3 linked regions of the Oreochromis niloticus genome follow. The protein of the gene in region 1 interacts with the protein of each later gene in a pairwise test. Links are inferred from orthologs where the notes say so. Each region holds a gene or a part of one and is shown on either strand. Other genes may lie near its edges.

Region 1 (7,396 bases):
AAATGTGTTTGGCAACACACACCTGTTTTGGTAATTAGACGAGATGAATCAAATCAAAAAACAGTTCTTATTAAGTTCAGTGATGGCAGTTCACCCCATAGAGGGGTTACCCTGTGACTCACCTGTCAGACGCCTGGACCATCTCACTATGTGACTCAGTGCATTTTTCTCTGTGGCAGAGGTCTGACTGAACCATGCCACCAAACAAAGAGATAAAAATAAATTAGAATTCCTCGGTCAGTGTGGAAATGAGCAAGTTCCCTTTGGCAGTGAGGGTGCCGGTGACCCTCTGTGCTTCTTTCTCGCTCCATCTCTGTGGCCTAAAGTCAGAAACCATGTCTTTGTTTTAGATATGTTCAACTGAAGGTAAGAGACTGAGTTCTTTTGCACCAGTGGTGGGCAGTAACATGTAATCTGATTACTTTTTCAAGTAACAAGTAAAGTAAGGGATTAAGATTGCAAAAAAGTAATTAGATTACCATTACTTTCGCGTTATTAAACCGTGATTTTGTTTGTGAGAGTGTCTCATGACAATGATGTGCGAGTGTGTGCGATGTCTGTGGCAGCAACAGACGTGTGCAGATCAACCGTGGATAACATGGAGTGATGGAGAGAGTACGACCATGCAGCGTTTAAAGCGTGGAAGTAATCACATTACTTTGAGTTTGATTCTGTAAAAACTGACAAAAACATCAGCGTCTGCTGTTCACTCTGCGTGGGAAGAAAACTTCTTTCTACAGCAAAGAATTAAACTTCAACTTTGAGCAGCGAGCACGCCGCCACGGGAATGTGACACTCACAGAGAAACCCCCGGATCCTCCCACTGACATGACCGCTGTGGGCAAACCTCCACCCGCCCCACTCCTGCTAAACAGGTGACAATAGATTTAAGAGCGACAGGACTCAGAGCTGCTGAATCTTTGATTTTATTTATTTCCTGCTGTGTTTTACTTGCATCTATTTGAAAGAGTGTAAACACAAAACAATATTTATTATTTTTATATGCTGGGATATGCAGGAAATAGGTTTAAATGTTAAAGTCAAAGACTGATGGATATAATTTAATTCATGCTTAATTCATTGTGCATAAAGATGAAAACAAATAAAACAATTTATAAAAAGAGACTTTTTCATTTGGTTACATTTTATATGATGGATTATGCAGAAAAAATAAATTTGGGCTGAAACGTCTGTTGCTTTATTACGAATTCAGGTTGTGTATCATGTTTTAAAAAGTAATTAAGTAACTAATTACTTTTGAAAATAAGTAAACAGTAAAGTAATGGGATTACTTTCATATGAACTGTATGAGAGTCTTTTAGACGTCGCTGAGTTTGTTTCAGTTTGTGTTTCACTTCCAAACATCCAAAAATCAGAAGAACTAAAACATTCAAAGTGTCTGAAAAATCTCTGTCTGAATTAAAACTGTTCAATCATTTCATGTTAAAATGATTCTGCATGCTTTATTTTACATACATGGAATTCTATTATGACACGTTAAGTAATCATCACTGTTCGTCTTTTGCACTGTACATTTTTCATATTTAACCCGTCAGTACAAACTTTGGGCCCTGACTTTAGTAAATCAGAGGTGGCTAAGGCTGTGCTGGTTTGAGACGGATAAAAACTGGAAACACTGGTTCAAAGAAGCAGCACTGTGATGGAGGCCAGCTGTAAAAATACTAAAACTCAGAAAAACCAAAATGATTCGCGTGCACGAGAGGACGCACGTGCACCCTAAACCCTCAACATGTCCAACGATCAGTGACCTCGGCCTCTCAGGTGAATGAAATAAATAAATGAAACAATTTCAGGAGATTTAAAAGGAAATGTTTACAGCTGTGTTAGTGCGTGTAACGTGCAGTAAAAGGATTCATGAAGATGAAAACACCTGAGCAAGTTTTCAGCCGCAGTTAATGTTTACCTGCTGATATCAGCTGATATCTGTGACCTGTGTGTTCAGTGGGAGCGCGACACGCCTCGCACATGTGACTGCGCACACGTCTGCAGCAAAGAAAACATCCTGAGCTCAGATCCTGCAGATTACACACTCGGTTTAAAACGTGTAAACATGCAGCCGTGACTTAGAGCTGCGACATAAACATGATAAAAGGTTGATTTCATGAAAAAAGTCAGTTATTCATGAAATATTTCAAACTGTGAGATAAACAGTCAAACGTGAGGAGAGAAAGTACAGAAACAGAAGTTTCCCTGATTCAGCAGAATAACGAGATTTCAGCTCGACGTCAAAACGTCAAAAAATCATGTTTCACTGAGTCGGAGCTGCAGCATGAAGACATGATCGTCCACAGTTTGCTGCTAAAAACACAAAATCATCATCGGAAAGATTCGACTTCCTGAGTCAGAAAAGATACAAATAAATTTATAAGATAAAAAATAAAACTTATGAATGATAAACAAACACGTGTGATGGGTTTAAATCTAAAAAGCAGAAAATTCAATTCAAGGTTTAAAAGTTGTGTGTGTGTCTGTGTGTGTGTGTCTGCGTGTGTCTGTGTCTGTGTGTGTCTGTGTGTGTGTGTCTGTGTGTGTGTGTGTGTGTCTGTGTGTGTGTGTGTCTGTGTGTGTGTGTCTGTGTGTGTGTGTCTCTGTGTGTGTGTGTGTGTGTGTGTGTCTGCGTGTGTCTGTGTCTGTGTGTGTCTGTGTGTGTGTGTCTGCGTGTGTCTGTGTCTGTGTGTGTCTGTGTGTGTGTGTCTGTGTGTGTGTGTCTGCGTGTGTCTGTGTCTGTGTGTGTCTGTGTGTGTGTGTGTGTGTCTGTGTGTGTGTGTGTGTGTGTGTGTGTGTGTGTGTGTCTGTGTGTGTGTGTCTGCGTGTGTCTGTGTCTGTGTGTGTCTGTGTGTGTGTGTCTGTGTGTGTGTGTGTGTGTCTGTGTGTGTGTGTGTGTGTGTGTGTGTCTGTGTGTGTGTGTCTGCGTGTGTCTGTGTCTGTGTGTCTGTGTGTGTGTGTCTGCGTGTGTCTGTGTGTCTGTGTGTGTGTGTCTGTGTGTGTGTGTCTGTCTGTGTGTGTCTGTGTGTGTGTGTCTGTGTGTGTGTCTGTGTGTGTCTGTGTCTGTGTGTGTGTGTCTGTGTGTGTGTGTGTGTCTGTGTGTGTGTGTCTGTGTGTGTCTGTGTGTGTGTGTGTGTGTGTGTCTGTGTGTGTCTGTGTCTGTGTGTGTGTGTCTGTGTGTGTCTGTGTGTGTGTGTCTGTGTGTGTCTGTGTCTGTGTGTGTCTGTGTCTGTGTGTGTGTGTGTGTCTGTGTGTGTCTGTGTCTGTGTGTGTCTGTGTGTGTCTGTGTCTGTGTGTGTCTGTGTCTGTGTGTGTGTCTGTGTGTGTCTGTGTCTGTGTGTGTCTGTGTGTGTCTGTGTCTGTGTGTGTGTGTCTGTGTGTGTCTGTGTGTGTGTGTGTCTGTGTCTGTGTGTGTCTGTGTCTGTGTGTCAGGAGGTCATGTTTACGACACGCCATGACTCAGGAAAACGTTCCTGCAGTCTCACATCCTCCTCTGCAGCCGGCTCAGTCACGTCGCTCACGAGGAGTCTGAGAAGCCTCCTCCCGACTCCTCCCGACTCCTCCTGACTCCTCCTGCTGCTGTTTACAGCACAAACCACCTGAAACAGCTTCAGTTGCTCAGAAAGTGACACCTGTGCTGAGCTGAAGTGTTTTACAGCCCAAATGTAAAAATGTCCTGACTCTCAAACACGAGCAGACAACAAAGCGCTCGTTCTTCTGTTTGTTCCTCTGAGACGCTCAGTCCAAAGTTTGTTCCACACAGATTAGATAACTCAGTTTAAATGTGAACACAAGGACACAAAGCTAATATATGCAGTAACTGCAGCGGCCCTTTCATGCTGCTTTGAATCCTTCAGCAGCGTCTTCAGTTTTCGCTGCATGTTTTTCCAAAAAAGTAAGTATTTAAACTGATATGAAAAACAAAAGTGGAAACGGTTACAATCATGTCTGAAAGGATGTCTGAGTGATGAGAGTGATGAGAGGAAACAAACCGAAAAGCCAGGCTCCAAAAGTCACAGTGAAGCTTCTGGAGATGAGCCTCGGTCACATTAATGGAAACATTTCTGCAGGATGACTCTGATCTGCTGTCACGGCCTGCAGTGCAGTTGGAGCAGCGTTAGATAAACACCATGAACCAGGTCAGGGTCATGTGACCACAGCAGCTGCTGATAACCAAGGAAAACAGACCCGGGATCATCTGCGGGAACCAAGGTCGGGTCTCACAGTGAGTCACAGGACCAGAGTCCACGTACACAGGTGTCACAGGCATGTGATGAAGATAACACAAGCTTCATGGTCAAAAACAGGACAGGTTAAGGAAAGTTAGGATACCTTGGTGGGTACATAAAAAGTACCAAAACAAGAGTATACAGTCAAATAAGTTTAAATTAGCTGTAAAAACCAACGAGAGCTAATAACTATGTAAACAAAGGTTTAAAACTATGAGAAGAAATACTGAATGTGACTTTGAATAAATAAAATGTAGAAATATGAGATAAAAAGTTGTGTATTCAACACAAAGAGTGTGTTCTTAATCTTGTTATGCAGAGGCTGCAGCTCTGTGGCTGATGCAACATTAGTGCAGAGGAAAGAGGAGCCCTGCAGGAGGAGTCAGGAGGAGGAGGAGGAGGAGGTGCATGCTTCTCATATATAAACAAACACAGAAAGACGAAAAACAGACAAACCTGCGAACACTGAGGCTTACTACGCAGACGCAAAGATCTCTGACAAACTTCTAGAAAAACAAACATGAGTCACGTCGACGTGAAAAACATGAAGCCCACCAAGTTTGAGGACGAGTACTACGACGAGTACGAGTACTATAACCTGACGGATAAATACGCAGGTGAGCTACCCTGTCCTGGTTCCGTCCGGTTCGTGTTCCGGGCCCGGAAAACTCACTGCTTTAGTTTTTCTGTTGCAGAAGGTTCGGCTCGGAAGGGCAGGACAAAGAAGGAGGCCAGCGACAACACCAACAGACACAACCCCGCAGGACATGAGCGCAAGATCGTGGAGAAGCTCCAGAACAGCGAGAAGAAAGCCAAGGAGTGAATACTGAGGTAAACCCTGGAAAACCGTGTTTGTGTGTCAGTGACTGTGCGCCGAAGTAAAGTAGGAATGCAGTTTCAGCCAGAGCAAAGTCGTCTGACTCACACGAGTCCGTTTGCACTGACAGAGGCCATAAACACTTAAAAACGGGCAGATTTCTGAACGCTGTCTGGTCTGTGGCTATTTGGAACGCTGGAACAGGGCAAACGTGACGCCAGACGCGCCGCGTGCAGAACTTCCTTTACGATTGTTTGAATTTAAGCCTCTCCCGCAGCGGTTTTTGCTGCCACACTTTGATTTTACAGCCCTCAGAAAAGAGTCCAAAGTTTCTTTTTATATCGAGTCCTGCGCCGAATTTTACACAGCGTGTTTCCTGTGTAGGAGGTCCAGTTTGAATCTTTGTTCTCGGTTTCTTTGCTCGAGGATCGGTCTGAATCTGAAATCGGCGATTTTTAAACGAATGTTTGGAACACAGCATACTGAACCACATCAAGCATTTTCCTAAACTGCGCTTGCTCCACAGTTATTAACAATAATTAACTGTTAATTAACAGCTGAATTTAAAGCCAGCTGTTCTTGTTACTGTTAAGGTTGAATAGTAGTGACGTCATGAGTGAAAAGACAGCTTAGCTGTTGTTTTAGCTATAATATTTGTCATATATTTCCCGTAGAATATGAATTCCCTCAGAACAAAACTGTTTATTAACTCCTGCCGCTCGCCTCCTGCACGTCATCACCAGGTTCATAGTTTGAATGGGCAGATATCCAGTAGAGGTTTGGTGCAGAGGGCAGAGGCTAACAGTTTGTACACTTTTACAATCCTCCTCCTGCTCTTCCTCTCCTTCTTTGCCCCACCCCACCCCAAGCCTTCTCCATCCTCCTTCTTTTCCACATCCCTGTTCGTCTTCTTCATGTTCTCCCTTGTCCTCTTCCTCCTCCTGCCTCCTCATCTCTTTTCTTCTTACGTGCCCTCCTGGTGGCCTGTGCAGGTACTGCAAGTCAATTAGAAATGATACAGTTCTTACATCATTTTTAAGCTTTATTATGATTTAATCCTACAGGATAAACTCGTATATGTAGCTGACAGATCACGTAATGAAACTGTAGATGAAGAAAACATTATGGAAAAGTTTAATTTTGGATTTTAAAGCTTTTTTTAAAAAGATTTTTAACACATGGTGCTGCTGGTGGTAAATAGATGCTTGAACTCCTCGTGTTTATGTCTTTTAATTAATTATTTGATATTTTTCTTTTCTACTTCAGGGAATCTCGGACGGCTCATCCCGGAAACCGACCATGGCGTCCTTGGCAACAGAACGACACGTGCAGATGGCAGGAGCGTCTGAGCTCCGATGGGCCCGCAGGTGTTGGAGAGCTCTCACCTGAGGCGGCGTGCCCCTGGGTCCCTGCTCGGACCGCGACCGCGCACCGAGACTGCGGTGGCGGCAAATGGCTCATTCTTAAGGATGTTTTTTAAAACTTGTTTTTACGATTAAAGACTTATTAAACTGAAATGAGAGTGTTCATTTTTTCTTCCTTTTAGGCCTCAGTGAAAAAACACAGCCTGTATGTAAAAGATGGATGTAGTGAGGTGCCAGGAAAGAGAGCCTGGAAAGTTCAGACATTGATGTTTAAACACCAGACATTGGTGCCAGCGTTCCTCCCTGTCCAGGATGTGTACATCCTCATCGTTGAAAGAGTGTCCACTGGCCTGTAGGTGTAAATAGACTGCAGAGTCCTGGCCTGATGAGGTAGCTCTTCTGTGTTGTAGCCAGAGGTTGTTTGGTTTCCCCGATGTATACATCCTGGCAATCCTCCTGCACTTAACAGCGTACACTATGTTACTCTGTTTGTGTCGGGGGACCCGATCCTTGGGGTGGACCAGTTTTTGGCGCAGCGTATTTTGGGGTTTAAAAGCCACAGAGACCCGGTGTTTAGAAAAAATGCGTCTCAACTGTTCCGATACTCCTGACACATATGGGATCACTACAGGTTTTCGCCTGGGCAGCGGTTGTCCTTCTCTCCTGGATCGGCTGGAGCTTTCTTTAGGTGCCTTCTCGCTTTGACAAAAGTCCAGCTGGGATAACCACATTTACTCAGGGCCTTCTTGATGTGCTGTCCTTCTGCCTCTCTGGCCGCTGTGTCAGTGGGGATGGTGTTCGCTCTGTGTTGTAGCGTCCTGATGACACCCAGTTTTAGATAATACAAAAACTTACTACATGATGAATAATCAGATGTCTTAAAAAGAAGACATACTAAGTTTTTCTTTTGAAGAACTGTTGAACAAACGCTGTGAAGAGAAGAATAATAACTCTGTGCAGACCTGCCTTTAAATAAAACA
Region 2 (7,840 bases), on another chromosome or scaffold:
GGGTTTTTTTTCCTGGATGAGCTGTTGATGTTCTCTTGGAGTAATTTTAGCAGGCTGGCCACTCCTGGGAAGGTTCAACACTGTCCTAAGTTTTCTTGATTTGTGGATAATGGCTTTAACTGGGGTTTGCTGGAGTCCCAAAGACTTGGAAATTGCTTTGTAAAACTTTCCAGACTGACAGATGCCAATGACTTTAAAATATGGCATGATGTGCTGCTCTTTGAAATCTCTTAGCTTCCTTTACTTTGTCAGACAGGTTTTATTTAAGTGATTTCTTGATTCAACAGGTCTGGCAGTAATCAAGCCTGGGTGTGTTTAGTGAAACTGAACTTGTTTGTGTTCCAAAAAATTGTGGTTAATCACAGTTAATTTATAATTTAACAAGGGGCCAATTACTTTTTCACACAAGGCCAGGATAAGTTTGGATAGCTTTTTTCCCCCTTAACAAATCATCATTTAAAAACTGCATTTTGTATTTTCTCAGATTATCTTTGTCAAATGTTAACATTTGTTTGATGAAACTGAAACATCTAAGTTTGACAAATGCAAAAACAAAACTCAGAACTCACAAAGGAGGTAAATACTTTTTCATGCCACTCTAATAAGCTAGAAGTGATAACTAAACAGCTGGGAATGCTAATAGAAAAAAACAGCTTGATATACTGCATCCAGTTTATGACTTTTAGCATATTCCCTTAAAGTGAAGGGTAGCTCATCAATAAGCTCTATTAAAGCTCAGACCCGCTACACTAGAGAGCAAATTTAATTACAGAAAGAATGGCTTTTTGCACTTAAAGGACCACATAGTGGATCTATGAAAGAAAATATGCTCCTGAAACTTCATTCAGTCACCTTTTTCTTCTAGCTTAGTAAAGTGTGATGCGTACCGTAGTGAAAATTCAGCGATCGGTTAGATTTCTTGCAGCACATTTTGGCATCTTAAAGGCAATCATTCCTTTGTGCGTGCCCATGCACACCATGCTTCAAGACATACACTCTTACTAAAGTCAAAACTATAAGAATTTTAAATGCTGAGACTGCAGAAAGGGTGAGACAGTCGCAGCACTCAGCTGTAAAACAGTCTGGCACAACACTAACAAAGGAAATGAGCAAACCACATAGCAAATAACAGACTTTTATTCAACACTCTAAGCCCAACTGCTTATATCTGAGTGCCAATCCCAGTCACTTGCAAATAAACAGATTTATGAGAAATAGTACACACAAATTGCTACATTTGTCTAGACAGGACATTATTCTAGCTTTACTTATACTGGCAAGATTAGGCTGGAGTTTTATGAATATGTATATTTGTATATGTCAAATCTTGACAGTCTCCAAATTTGCACTTAAGAGTGAATTAGGTGACTCAGCAAATAAACTACATTTCTAACAGAAGAAGAAAGAGACAAATTTTGCCTCCTACAAAGAAAAGCCGAATGTGAAAATAACTGAAATTCAGTATTTATTTGGGATAACTCATTCCCTGCAAAAATATTTAAATATTACATAAAATTTTCTTTATGTGGCCATTTAATCATCCGTCTTCTTCTGTTTATCTAATCCAGGGTTACAAGAGGTCTTGGATCTGTGCTACCAGAAGGCAAAAGGCAGGGTACACAGTGCAAGTCTCTTGCAGGGCTAACACAGAGGGAAAACCATTTGTGCTCATTCACACCTGTGGAAAGAGTTAGAATGACCAATTACCCTAACACATGCATGTCTGTAGGAGGAAACTGGAGTACCTGGAGAGAACCCATAGTAACATACTGTAGGGAGAACATACACACTGCACACAGAAAGTCTCCAGCCAGCTAGTGGATTCAAACCCAGGCTCTTCTTGCTGTAACGTGACAGTGCTAAAACACTGTGCCACTTCACCAAAAAGCACTATATTGCTGTTTTCACTATATTGCTCCCAAGTACTACATCCATCCATCCAATTTCTTCTGCTTATCCAATTCAAGTCCACAGACGGGCTGGAACCTACCCCAGCTGTCATAGGGTGTGAGGCAGAGTACAGGCTGGCTGGAGAGGTCGCCAGTCTGTCACAGGGCTAACCGGGAGAGCCAGACAATCATTCACATTCATATGTACAGGCAATTTAGATCCACCCCCCATTCTTTTACTATAACTACTGTTGATCAGTAACTGCAACATGGATTATCTTTAAAATCTAAAACTTCATGTCCATTCCAAAAAAACAAATAACACAAGCTTAAATGCAGTCTTGAATGGAAAGTTTAAAGTAAATACAGTATCTTTCAGGAGATTTTTAGTGATAACAAGCGCTCTGAGTTAACGTGTTGATTTTCTTTTTACACGACAAATTGCGTAATCAGGAGGAAAAGCAAAGCTATTATGCATCTTAGCCTCCAGTAATTACACTGATGTACTTTAATATAAACAGACAACAAAATTCTACCACACTGCATTAACTGGGGTTTTTTTGTTTGTTTGTTTGTTTTGACTGTACTGACAATCACTCATTATTGTGGCAGTTACAATACAATACCAAAATATAATCATTAGAACAACAGACAGAAGTTCTGGCATGAATATTAGTTTTGATTAGCACCAACATGCAGCCATCATCTGTCAGTATAAACATCAAAACATTTCCTTATTCATCACATTGCTACCAGGTAGAGGGAGTGTAGAAAAACTGCACTGCACAGCTCAGAAATTGCACAGTCTCTGAGCACAAGTCTCCACAAAGACATTGAAAACCATCCAACAAATCCCACACAGCATAAATCAGCCCATTGGTAGGAACACGGGTTGCATTCATAGGTGGCAGAAAACTCGGAAATAAGTTGAATGTGTGTATTTTAAAAATGCACTGGCATATAAATATTCTTATAGCTCACCAGGTCAGGAGGTATCTTACACCTCCTTAGTGAGGTGGAACAAAACTAGTGTCTTCCTTCAGACTAAATATTTCGTATCGTTTCACAGAAAAAACCACACATTTAAAATGATAAACTGTATAGTTTAATTTGTTGATTGTGCGGTGTGCTGGTGATAGAGAAGTAAAATGAGAAGTATCCAGATGTTCACTAGAGTCGGTAATGTCAGTAGCATGTGGCGTTCTCAACAGCACCGTCAGTGATTTAGCTACATTACTAAATGCCATCTTTGGTTCTGCTGCAGAGATTCGTATATTCGTATATGTGGGGAGCTGTCACTGTGTCAGCTGCTTCTTGTTTGGGAATCTTTCATCTATTGTGGGAATATTTTCATCTCTAACACAGCATGAATAAAAACTTTTATCCATTAATTTATCTGATAAATGTTATTTTAAATTTTAAATGAATGGGCAATCTTTCAGAAAACCTTCAGTAAATAATCCCCAAAACTCGTTCTGATTTGATAAACTAAGAGTTTCCATCAGCTGTGGGGCTAAAGAGTCGTATCTCTCTTGTTGTAGCACGTCTCAGAGGTTCATTACAGAAATAACTGTTCGGGTCTCTGTAATGAACTGCTCAATGGACAGGCTTTTATCTGTTAACAAAGAATCATTGCTTGCATTATTTATTGATAAATATAGCAAGTTGATTAAATCATTCATGCATACTCCCTACTTTGTCTCTCTATGTTTAAATGCTTTTTCCTTGTTTTTCACTATCCTATAAATTTTGCTTCAACACGTTGATTTTCCTCACCTTTACCTCTGTGTATTTCTGTCGTTTGATCTCCTCCCTTGTATTTGCAATCAGATTTTCCCATTTTTGTTGCACTCTGAAACTGTACAATGGACCTGTGGGATGGCAGCATTTATGGTTTGGACTGTCGTTTCCCAGACTTGTCCCTTGTATTCTCCAGTGTTATATTTTCTTCTGACTGTTTCTCTTCTCCTGCATTCTGCTGGACATCACTTCAAGAGCCTTTAGAGGCAATTATCTAATGGAGATACACACAGATTGATTATCTGTGATGGATTATCTGTTATACTGGTGCTCCCTAAAACATGCCTAAAACAAAGCTGAAATTTTGATTCGTGGCACATACAGGTAAAGGCTTCAAGTTAATGCTTTCAGACTCAAGGTTTCAGTTAAAATATTAAGAGATTTTTTTAAAATTAAAGATATTTAAAGATTTTCCCTATAAGAGTTGATTCTAAGCGACCAGTATTTAAATATACGATCGGACTCTGGCAGAATTCAATTATTATGATCTGAATATTAGTTATAATAAATAAATACTGATGAAATCTTTAAGGTGAAACGTAACGCTTTCGTACCCGTATTACAGGAAAAATCTAGCGCGTCCCACGAAGATGACGTCCTCACCGGGTGACGTGTCAGTTTGTTTACAGCGGTGAGCAGTCGGCTGCAGCTGCTCAGACATGGCTGTTGATATCACGCTACTTTTCAAAGCCAGCGTTAAGACGGTCAAAACCAGGAACAAAGCCATAGGAATTGGCTTCGACTCGACCAAAGATGAAATTTTCAAGAGAAGCAGACCGAAGAGTGGCTTCTCACCGAGGGCGAAAGAAGTGGTGAGTGTTCATCCAGCCTAGCGTTAGCTAACTCTGCTAGCACAGTGGCCAAAGTGCTTTACGTTTAATGGCAGCTTCTAAACTTACTACTACTTTGTAGGAGCAACAGCAGCCAGTGGAACATATACAGTGCATATACGATGCTTACCACTTGTATTTTCTTTAGTGTGTTGGCGCTGTTCGTGGTTAGCCGGGCCTGTCAACATGTGCAGGCTATAACTTTGCTAAATGCAGTATGAACTTAAATTTGATTAGATTTTTAAAAATTTACATTGAATATATGCAAATTATATTCAAAATGTGTCATAGATTACATAATATTATGATATGTTGAGATTTAAAATATATAGGATTTGATTATTGCTCTTTTTGACTAATACGATAAGTGGCCAGTTAATCGTTTGTTGACGGCTTTGATGATCTGTACTGAGAGTAGGGAGCAGGTGAAATAGAGCCTGGAGATGTGCAGGTATGCTTTGAGAGAAGATGAAAGTCAGTAGAAGCAAGACAGAATACATGTGTGTGAATGAGAGGGAGACAGGTGTAACAGTGAAGCTGCAAGGAGCAGAGGTACTGAAGTTTGATTACTTTAGGTATCTGGGGTCAACCATCCAAAGCAATGGATAGTGCATAAGAGGTGTGAAAAAGAGTTTGCAGGCAGGGTGAAGAAGGTTGATGCAATATCAGGGGTGATTTGTTAGAGAAGGATAGCACCAAGAGGGAAAGGGAAGGTTTGCAAGACTAGACCTACTATGATGTATGGCTTGGAGGTGGTGGCACTGACAAAAACGACCGGAGGCCGAACTGAAGATGTTAAGACTTCTTAAGACTTAAGACTTCACTGGGAGTCACCAGGTTAGACGAAATTAGAAACAAACACATCAGAGTGCAAGAGAAATACTCACCTTATGCCATTTCCTGTATATACTTTGGTAATCTACAGGTAACTTTTACAGATGAGAAACCTTGTTCACATTGAACTTTTATTTAGTATTTTGTAGCCAGGCGTTAAGAATACAATATTCACTCATTAAAGTTATCTGGGGATGCCCAGGCTTACTACGTGTGCTCAACTGTGTTTTACAATTCCTGGTTATTATTATAATAACTGCATTTGTTGGAGTATGCAGTTATTATAAGTGCATACTCCACTTCATGAAAAACAGTCTTGGCACAGATTGATAGATGTGGGCAACGCAGGGAGAGAAATAAGCCAGAAATGTTGTTTCATAGCTGCTGGTGTGCAGTCTCCCAGTCTGTATTCTCATATCTGACCAAATTATCATGAAAAAAAATCACTCAAGGACAAAATTGTCACATCAATAGCCTTCCTATAGATTAATCAATAAAAGCTAAAAGTAAAAAAAAACAAAAAACACTTTTTATAGCATTGAACTCAGTGAAGCCTCTTCTTTTCATCAGAACAGTTCATTTATATTGCAGTTTAATTGTAAATTGTGCAATTTATTTTCCACAACACAAAGCCTGCAACTGATATTCAGAAAAAGTTTTACACGCTTGGATCAGCAGTTTATATTTTTTTCAGAAACCATATAAATATGAACAGCTACACGACTGAAGAAGTATGTTTTTCTTTTCTTCCTTTCTTAGTTTTCTGGCAATACCCAGTTAAAATGACCTTGGTCTCACTGAAAAATTCTAGCTTTTTAATACACTGTCAGTAATGGAATTTTGACTTCATCTCCTCTAATACTGTAATAATATCAATTTATTTGTAGGATTTCACATAAGACTAAATATATTGGGGAAAAACAGCTTTGGATCTCATTTTATGAAACATCTTAAATGATCTTTTTCCACTGAAATACAGACCTATCCTCTATGGTTGACGGTACAAGATCTAGCAGTGTACATGTTGCTTATACTTCTACTGCTGCTCTTTGGCCTGACATGAATATCTCAAAAACAAACCTCTTCAAAGGTACCTTGAAGAACCACTTTACGTATCCCAAGGGGAGTCAGGGCTTTAAGTTGTACCCGATGTCTCCAGCCATCAGCCCGAGGCAAACATAAGCCCATTTGCTGCAGCTTTGCACAACCAGGTTTTTGTTATGTTCTGTTACATTGATATTACAAATGGTGGTTTAATAAAGGCACTGCTGCTTATTCAAGAGAAACCCAAACCTATCCTGTGGTGGCTGTCTCCTTCGCGTTGCAGATATCATCTCCGACCATCTCAGTGAAGCCGTTTTTGCCTAAATTGAAAATGTGAGCTTGGAATGTCCTGACTGCTTACAGTTATGTCGCGGTTTTCACCCACGTCTCCCCAGCTCAGCTATCCTTTTCTGTCTCTATTCAGCATCACATAGGCAGTAATTTTTATGCAGGTCGCCTCTTCCCATGTATGATTCCGTAAACATGCTGCAATAACATTTTCTTTCGGCTCTCAAACAATTTCTGGGGAAAGCTGATCCTCCCAAGAGCCAGTGATTAAAGGTGGAAGATCAAAACAGAGAAAATATTAAATTAGGTCCCCAGTAACAATGTTGACGGCCGGCACCTAATGCACAACAGATGTGGGTGCCCTTCAAGACATGCATAACTCTCCCACTAACTCTCCCTCCTAAATTCCCATTGAAGCTTCGCAAAAATAGAAAGAAAACATCAAAGTTGACAAATACACAGTGGACCTCTGAGACTTTTTTCTTTTTCCACTCAAAAGTCAACACAATGAGAAAGGAAATGTAGCTACTTTCAAGTCGATTCAAAAAGGGTTTGATTGACTAATAAGAGGGCCAGTGTTTGCAGGGTGGGGTTTGGTAAGGGGAATCTTTTACCTCATAGGGGTTGGTTTTGGGCGCTGTGATCTCCGTTTCACCGCTCACCTCGTCGCTCTCCGCAGCATGCTACCCTTCTCAAGTTTAAATGGGGAAGGTCACTCTGAAATTGTCAAATTGGGTGTAGAAAATAGCGTTTGGCTCCCCACTCTGCCTTCAGTATTGGTATTCCAAAATTGGCTCCTTCTCACACTGTTTTCTTTGAAACACTGAAAAGTGGGCCAGCTCTTAAAATTATGTTGTGTTGTTAGAGGGGCTCTTCACTGTGAAAACTTTACAGTGAAATGGTATGCTCTAGTATTTTCATAACATTTAGTCACAATTTTTTCGATGATGGTTAAGTTTCCAACTCCAGTGTGTTTTATTTTTTTCTTTTTAAACAATTCAAATTTCATTTTATGTTTGAGATGTTATAAACTAAATCAAACCGTTGTGAAAGTGAAGTTAAAATTATCGCCTTGTATCACACCGGGACGTTAAAGAGGATCAGTGAACTTGCAAAGGTCAGAGTCGCAGATCAAAGTTGAAATAATCGTTAGAG
Region 3 (7,771 bases), on another chromosome or scaffold:
GCAGCACACATCCAGTAGTATGCTGTCCTGATCCAGCTTGGCTAATTCCCCCACAGCAGAGTACAGCACCTCTGCAGCTCCTGTATTCACCTAGCACACAGACACAGAATGTTAATGGAGGCTAACCCCCTGATGTTAAAACTGGCAAACACAACTGGGACCATCAATGAAGTTGGTCATTGCTGCCTTGGCAATAACCAACCAAGGACACACCATACCCAAGTGTCCTAGCCACCGATTAATAAGATGAATGTATTAAATTCAGTCACTCTAGGCTTGTAGGATACTTTTGAGTTAACCCCTGTATTTCGAGATGTTTCCACATTTTAGGAATGCCTGCAAAAAAGTAAAGCATGGTGGAGTACAGCAATCTACTGCTGTTTGTTAGGCTCTGTGATGAGCCTTAGAAGAGACTAGCTGCTTGTTCACAGCACAGAGAAGTACCGTTTCACCCCATCTGCAGAAGGATAACATGGTGAGATCAGAACTTCAGAAAAGAATTACCATGCCTGCCATAACATGTGTTCACTGATCCTCAGAAAGAAATCCTGAAATATTCTAGTTGCAAACCAGACTTAATAACTTCCACAACATGCAGCTTCTGCTCTTCCTCACCTGGAAGAATGAATGAGGAGAAATCCTGAATTTTAAACCCAGCATTTCTTCTTGAATGCAGCTCTCTCCAGCCACCAGCTCACAGGGCAGATCCTCTGGATTTGGAGATTTCCTTTACAGGCAAAAAGAAAATAAAAGGAGTTACGTAAATAGAGTATTATTGAGATGACATTCAGTCATTAAATTCATACAGATTATGACTTATTGAGCATATAGTTTAGTTTTACCTTTGGCCCTCTCTAACAAAGTACAGCGAGGTCACACCGCTGTCTTTCCCCTCTCCTTCTGTGAAGTACTCCTTCATGGAGTTCTTTAAAGCACCAAGTTCCTCTTCTTCAAGTTTCTAAGAGTCATTAAACAAATAAAGCAAATCAAAAGGGGGAACTTTAAAAGCATGGGGCACGAGTTCAGTTTCAACATTTCATTACCTGTGGGTTGAAGAACACCATGGCCATGGCATGTTTGGTCCTCGTAGTACGTACAGTCAGCTGCTTCCAGTGTCCTTCATATGTCTCTGGGCTGTACACAGAGTATGGAGTTGTCCTGTTTGCAAACAATCACAGCAAGACTGAGCAATTAGTTGCTTTTAGAAACAAAATCATTCGGACAACTTGCTTTCAGTTTTTTTTTTGCTAGCATGTGACTAATTTGTATGATATTTCTCAAATAACATCACACGTACATTATGAATTTGATCATCTTCTTGTTTTGTTTAGGTTCAACTACTTTTTCCAAGCAGCTTTAGTTCCCCAAACTAAATTGTTCCTAGATTCTCATGAGCACACATAATAATACCTGATGAACTTTTGAAACTCGCTGACCACCTTCTTAGCCTCCGGCGGCACGTGGCACGTGTCAGCCGGCCCCACCACAGCACAGGAGCCTCCTTTGTATTTCCCCAGGCGGAAACCGATGGTTTTATCCTCGCCATCTGCACCCACCGATATGAGGAACTCACACTTGTTTCTGTACTCTGTCTGCCATGATCAGAAACAGGGTCAGAAGGATGAGTATTAAATTATATACAATATTTAGAGACATGAAAACAGCTGAGAGCTTGTGAAACAGAATAAACTTATCTATGCCATTTTTCATCTCTAATTAGTCACTTTTTATCTTGTGTGTTTTTTTGTTTGTTTTTTTTAAACTGTTGCATCACCACCTGCCTTTATGGACAAATAAAGGTGACTAGTTGAAGTATACCTGTATAGGAGACGGTCGGAGGGCTTCCAGAGGACAACACATGTTGTTGTATTTCCCTTTCTGTGCAAACAGCCACGGCACCATGGCTTTGTTGGTGCTGCCGATCTCTCTGAAACATCAAGGTTTAAGTTGTAATGACATGTAAGGAAGTCCCATAAAAAAAAAGCACAATATTACCTATAAAATCACACAAAATCTGTATTATATTACACTTACTTGGCCAGCTTCTGCAGAACCGCCACCACCTCCTGCTCCTTCCTCTTCAGCTGCTCGTCATAAGGCACGTTCCACAGAGGTGTCACAACGTTGGCTATCTGGACACTGAGCGGCTCCTCTTCCTCGTCCCCCTCATCTGTTCGTTTGCATGGGGGCGGGCCTCCCGCGCTCTCCCCCTCATTCTCCTTCCTCTTCCTCAAGATGGGGTCTGCCTTGGGTTTGGCCAGCTTGACACTTAGCACCTGGCCCTTCCACTGCATGCCGTGCACCATCTTCATGGCCTTGTCGCGCTCCTCTTCGTTCTTGAAGGTGACAAAAGCAAACGTCTGCCTGCCAAACAGCTTTATTTTGTGTGGGTTGAGGCCGTGCTTGGCCAAGAACTTCTTCAGGTCATTGAAGCCTACGAACCTGGGCAGATTCCTGATCTCCACTTTGTATATCTCCGATGTGAACAGGTCCTCTTTTATGTAGCGGTACACGCCGGGGTCAGAAGCTGCCTGGCTTTCTCCTTCAGCCTGAACATCAGGCTTGGCAGCATCAGTTTTGGCGAGGTCATCAGGCTTCTCCTCCAGGGAGAGGGATGGCGGAGTGATGCCCACTGGGCTGCTAGTGATATCTGCCATCACTTTGCTGATTCCTAAAACACCAAACAATAGGTAGGCCTATCAGGACCTTGCATTCACGGTGTTAAAACGTGAAAAAAAAGTACCATAAAGATTACCAAAGACTAGATGTTGCTGGTAACTTTTAACACAGTGGTACTATTTCAAACGCGCACGCTCTACTCTCAAGACTGGTTTAGGGTATTGTGTAACTTTCAAATAACTGCTACAATTAACGTGTCACGGTGAATATGTAAAACAATGCGTTTATCCTACATAGCAGTACATGCATTCACTGCTTTTCAGTAATTAAGTTTTGGTTATACGGCAAACTGAAAGACTTGATGCTAGCTCGAGCAGGAAGTTACATTCTTCGCAGCTTCAAAGGAACCACGTTGGCATTTTAACGGAACACTTTGCGTGCGTGCTGTTTTTCACTAGCGGTAACATTTCACGAGAGCTCCTTACCTTCCCGTGCCTGTATTTACTTTCTGCTCCACTTCTACCTAGCAGGCGCCGCCATGTTGATTCAAGCACGTGCAGCTTGAACTATGAACTTTGTTAAAGTGACAGGCATCCCACCGGCTTTCAGTTTGTGTACTTTGGTCACTTGGACAGAATTTCTGTTAATTAATTTCATTTCATTTCTGTTTTGTGTTTTATAATTACGGCACAGTCTGGGCAATGGAGTATCAGAACTTTTGCTGTCATTTTACACGTTTATTTCATACAATTTAAACTCAAAGAATCGCGTTAACAGATTTCTTCTTTACTACAGCATTTACTTAGAATTTATAAAAACGGAGAAATGGTTTTGAAATGACTTTTTTCCTTTTATTGCGATATCTCGGGGACTAAATGTGTAGTTAAACTTCTTCACATTTACATTAAGCCCAGTTAAGATCAAAGTGGGCTGTATGTATGGTATAGTCTTTACACAGTTTAAACACATGTATGGAATATTGCCATAGTCCCACTTTTTTCCAGTATGCTATATAGCATACTGGAAAAAGTGTGTTGATTCAGAACAATTATGTGCCAATTAAGAATCGTGTGTGATTTTTTTTCAGATTGTCTTAAAACCAGACTTCACTATGAAAATAATGTCATTCATTGGTTTCATTAGAAATTTTTTTTTTTACCACTCATAACTCTGTTTTCATGCTTTCATTGAGGGAAATGTGTATTTTAAAGAGTCTGTTAATATTTAGATAGGATACATTTGGCTTCATTCACCAGCAAGTTTTCTACTACTTTTCAGCTTTATGCCACTAATATCTCACAATCTCTCCTTTGTTCTGTTGTCCTTTTGTTGTAATGTAATGTCTCCATTACATATTGTTGTTTAGTTCACTTGTTTAAAAAAGAAAGAAAGATGGTTGAGCCTTTAAGTATTTCAGCACTATTTTCTGCTTTGGATGATTGACTGCAGGTATTTAAGCTCATTTATCTTCACTACCTCTTCTCCTTGCAACTTCACTGTTATCCCCGTCTCTCTCTCCTTCACACACGTATTCTGTCTTGCACACTGAAGCCATGATTGATAAATGGTAAATGGACTAGTACTTTTTGTAGCACTTTTCTATGGCTGTCAAGCAGACCACCAGATGTCACAGTCTGGATAAAAGTCACTTCAAGTTGTACAAGTATTTCATTTTACATAATAAAGGTACTACAACTGGTATGCAGAAGTTATTGATCCTGTAGAAAACATGTTAATATATCCTATCGAAAAGTGAAGTGACAATTATTGAAACCGAAGTTTTTTTGGTTTGTTTGTTTATTGGTTATTCTGTTTTTCTTTCGATAAAAGTGGTTACGTTTTTCTATTGAAAATAATATCTCAGGAAAAACATTTTTGTGAAAACGGCTGTCCCTGAGAAGAGAGAGGCGGTGCGCGTGCTGTGACAGCGTGAGCGCGGACATGCGTAGAGAATTCGGCGCGCGAAAGCTGTAGCAGGAAGTGAGAGAAGCTGAAGGGAAACGGCGGCCAGTTTGGGATTTGAATCTCTCAAACTACTCTCATAATCTACAAACATCTACAATAATATGGCAGACCCAAAGGTGAGGTCTATCGTTCTAGGTCATGTAATGCTTTATGATTGCTAGGAAATAACAATTTTGTGACAAACATTGTTTTTCATGTGTCATAATTTGTCAAAGTTTCGAAAGGAAGCCGTGTGCAAGAAATGCCGACAATCATCTTGTCTTTGGTGATGCTATGATCCACTAATTGATATTTTTTTAGTGATGTAAAAGGTAACGGAACGCCAATGGACTTATGAAAATGCACAGTGTAACCGTTGTAAAATTTTCCACTCTTAACACTTCCGTTACAGTTCACGAGCTCAGTAATTCAAAGTGTCCAGCCAGCAAACGTGTTAACATTAGCTTCATACTGTGAACATTAGCATAGGGAGGTGATGTGCGAAAGAACATTAGTGCTTCTACCAGACGATCACAACGGTCAGTTTTTTAAACGGGGTATTTTTCAGTTAGTATACTTCTCACTAGCTCAGGGCAACGAGGTTAGCTAGGTTGCTTGCCTTTGTCTGCCAAGCACAATACTTGCTAACATTAGTTAGCTAGTGTTAGCGCTATAGCAGGGCGCTGTTTACTGTCTGTTAGCAATGACGGTGTTACATTGAATAGACTGGCCGAAAATCACACAAGTTAATGAAAAAATACGGCGGTTGTGCTGAGCAAAATGCACAGAGGTGCAAGAAAAGAGAAAGTCCGATTGGTAGCTCCGGGCTAGCCGGCTAGTGAAAGGCCTGTGTTTCTAGCTAGGCAAGTTCACAACGAGTTGTCTTAGGAAAAAATAAAGTTGGATAAGTATTTGATGACAATAATAAAGTAAAAGCTACAACTTTAGCAAAGTTTTACAGTATGCGTCTAAATATCCAACACAGTGACAGCATTAATTGAAATATGGTGGTACTGATTTTTATTTAATAATGTCAGTCATGTTAATGTTAGGATACCTGTATTAGAAAAGACTTAAGCGATATATTGGGTTAGTGCTAACTTGCTATGCGGGTAGCCAGTGTACTTGCAAACAAAGCTAGCAGCAGGTAAGAATAAAGTGTCCCTTTAATAATTAGTTAATTGATGCTTATAATAGCTCAGGTCGATTTTATCACTTAAGTCTGGTTGACCAATGGTTTTAATAGTTAGCATCTTTATTCTCTTTAACTTTTTAATATTAAATACGTTTGTTGTCTATCAGTTTTGTATTTGAGAGCCTTTGGATAAGTGGAAGAAAATGATGGATCTTTAACACTGAACTCTATTAACACTAGTGAAGAATTCATCCTCTGTGGCTCATTTGTTAGAATTCAAATGTTGAATTTAAAGAATGACATTAAAACCATGTAGTTTCTTGGGGGGGGAATTGAGTTAATTTAATGTGCTTTTCCTCTTAGGACCAGGAAGACCACGATACCACTGCAGATGGTGCAGAAGACTCTAATCATGATCCCCACTTTGAGCCCATCGTGTCTCTTCCTGAGCAGGATGTGAAAACATTAGAGGAGGATGAGGAGGAGCTGTTTAAAATGCAAGTTGCTTACCATGTGAACACATTAACTGAGATACATTGATCAGTTTCGAAATACTGAGGTGTTCTGCTGTTTTCATAGGCGGGCCAAACTATATCGTTTTGCCTCTGAAAACGACCCGCCAGAGTGGAAGGAGAGAGGAACTGGAGACGTCAAGCTGCTGAAACACAAAGAGAAGGGCACAATCCGCCTCCTGATGAGGAGAGATCGAACTTTAAAGATCTGTGCCAACCATCACAGTGAGTCAAATTGAGAAATCTGATTTCATTGCTGTTCATGTCATGACAACAATTGGCCATATGTAACCTAAACAATATTTCTGAGTGGTGGTACAGGTAGAGTGGTGTGAAGATGTGTTATTTAAATCCTGGGTGTGCTCACTGACTGGTGTGTCCAAGGATTTTTTTTCTTGGTTTTATTGCAAACATTTTCTGATGTACATGTAAATACAAAAAGACCACAGGCCCCATGTGATCCCCCCGTCCCCCTTCCCCACAATGGTTAAATGAGTGAAATCCCTGGTATTAGTGGCAACAACAGAACTATAGATGAGGAAACGAGAGGTTGAGGTGTGGGTGTTGGAGGTACTGGGGCTTGTAATCTCATCCGGTTGTGATACAATCCAGACTGTGATTTTTTTTTTATTTATTTATTTATTTTTTTTTATTTATTTATTTTGTGTGTGTGTGTGTTTGACTTGAGATACATGAGTGTTTTACTCTTCCATTCACTCCTGAGGGGAGATAAAGAAATGGTGCACCTGTGTGTCTAATTCCCTATGAAACTACTAGATGGGGAGGGGGCAAACTACTAGATTTTTAAAACAAATCCCTTTTAGTGACTGTGGTCATACCTGCACTTAATGTGTTCTTGTTAACCACAGTTTTACCAATGATGGAGCTGAAGCCCAATGCTGGCAGTGACAGAGCATGGGTGTGGAACACACTAGCTGATTATGCAGATGAATGCCCCAAACCCGAACTTCTGGCAATCCGCTTTTTAAATGCTGAAAGTAAGTATTTAGGTACCCACTTCAACATTACACATCAATTCTCCCAGAGCTTTTTAACTTGGATTTTAAATTGTTACATTATGTTCTGTTTACAGATGCTCAGAAGTTCAAGGTGAAGTTTGATGAGTGCAAGGAGGAAGTCAGAAAACATCTAGAGCAAACGGGTACATGAAGCCTAAACTTTTAGGGTTTTTTTTTCTCTAGATAATTAAATATGTGAATTTTCTGAGAAGCAAGTGAAGTAAAACAGTTTTCTCAACATAAAATAGTCCATAATGTAGATCACATGAACATTAGATAGGAATTGTCAGTAATTTTACTTGGAAACATGTGAGTAGCAAATACTTTCAGAAGCCTGAATGCAACATTTTTCTAAGGTTAAAGTGACTTGTATTGATTTAAGACTGAATTCAAACTGAGAGTAACGTGACATAAGGACAGGAGCTGTGAGCATGCAGACACACTCTGTTCTCTGCTGCCAACTTCAGCTGGGGACTTTTTCTGTCTGCTACATGAACACGCAGAATGTAACACTTTACTGGTTTTCTAAAAGACTGGTGTCG

Evidence for each region.
Region 2: the proteins of nupr1b (region 1) and stx18 interact in a two-hybrid assay, tested with the Homo sapiens proteins (2 studies listed by BioGRID and IntAct). The link is inferred for Oreochromis niloticus from reciprocal best matches to the Homo sapiens genes NUPR1 and STX18.
Region 3: the proteins of nupr1b (region 1) and ranbp1 interact in a two-hybrid assay, tested with the Homo sapiens proteins (2 studies listed by BioGRID and IntAct). The link is inferred for Oreochromis niloticus from reciprocal best matches to the Homo sapiens genes NUPR1 and RANBP1.

The regions. Positions count from the first base shown.
Region 1 is NC_031969.2:33,682,544-33,689,939, forward strand, and holds nupr1b (nuclear protein 1b), read left to right. Parts: upstream 1-4,673; 5' UTR 4,674-4,755; coding exon 4,756-4,852; intron 4,853-4,930; coding exon 4,931-5,058; 3' UTR 5,059-5,066; intron 5,067-6,318; 3' UTR 6,319-6,436; downstream 6,437-7,396. UniProt on the Homo sapiens protein: Transcription regulator that converts stress signals into a program of gene expression that empowers cells with resistance to the stress induced by a change in their microenvironment.
Region 2 is NC_031970.2:27,531,057-27,538,896, forward strand, and holds the start of stx18 (syntaxin-18), read left to right. Parts: upstream 1-4,274; 5' UTR 4,275-4,348; coding exon 4,349-4,501; intron 4,502-7,840. UniProt on the Homo sapiens protein: Syntaxin that may be involved in targeting and fusion of Golgi-derived retrograde transport vesicles with the ER.
Region 3 is NC_031977.2:9,595,321-9,603,091, reverse strand, and holds the start of ranbp1 (ran-specific GTPase-activating protein), read left to right. Parts: upstream 1-4,535; 5' UTR 4,536-4,685; coding exon 4,686-4,700; intron 4,701-4,784; exon of another isoform or gene 4,785-5,102; intron 5,103-6,061; coding exon 6,062-6,195; intron 6,196-6,277; coding exon 6,278-6,435; intron 6,436-7,079; coding exon 7,080-7,208; intron 7,209-7,303; coding exon 7,304-7,372; intron 7,373-7,662; exon of another isoform or gene 7,663-7,771. Other genes in the region: trmt2a (tRNA (uracil-5-)-methyltransferase homolog A), read right to left, coding at 1-90, 616-727, 843-958, 1,044-1,158, 1,411-1,592, 1,819-1,927, 2,035-2,657. UniProt on the Homo sapiens protein: Plays a role in RAN-dependent nucleocytoplasmic transport. Alleviates the TNPO1-dependent inhibition of RAN GTPase activity and mediates the dissociation of RAN from proteins involved in transport into the nucleus.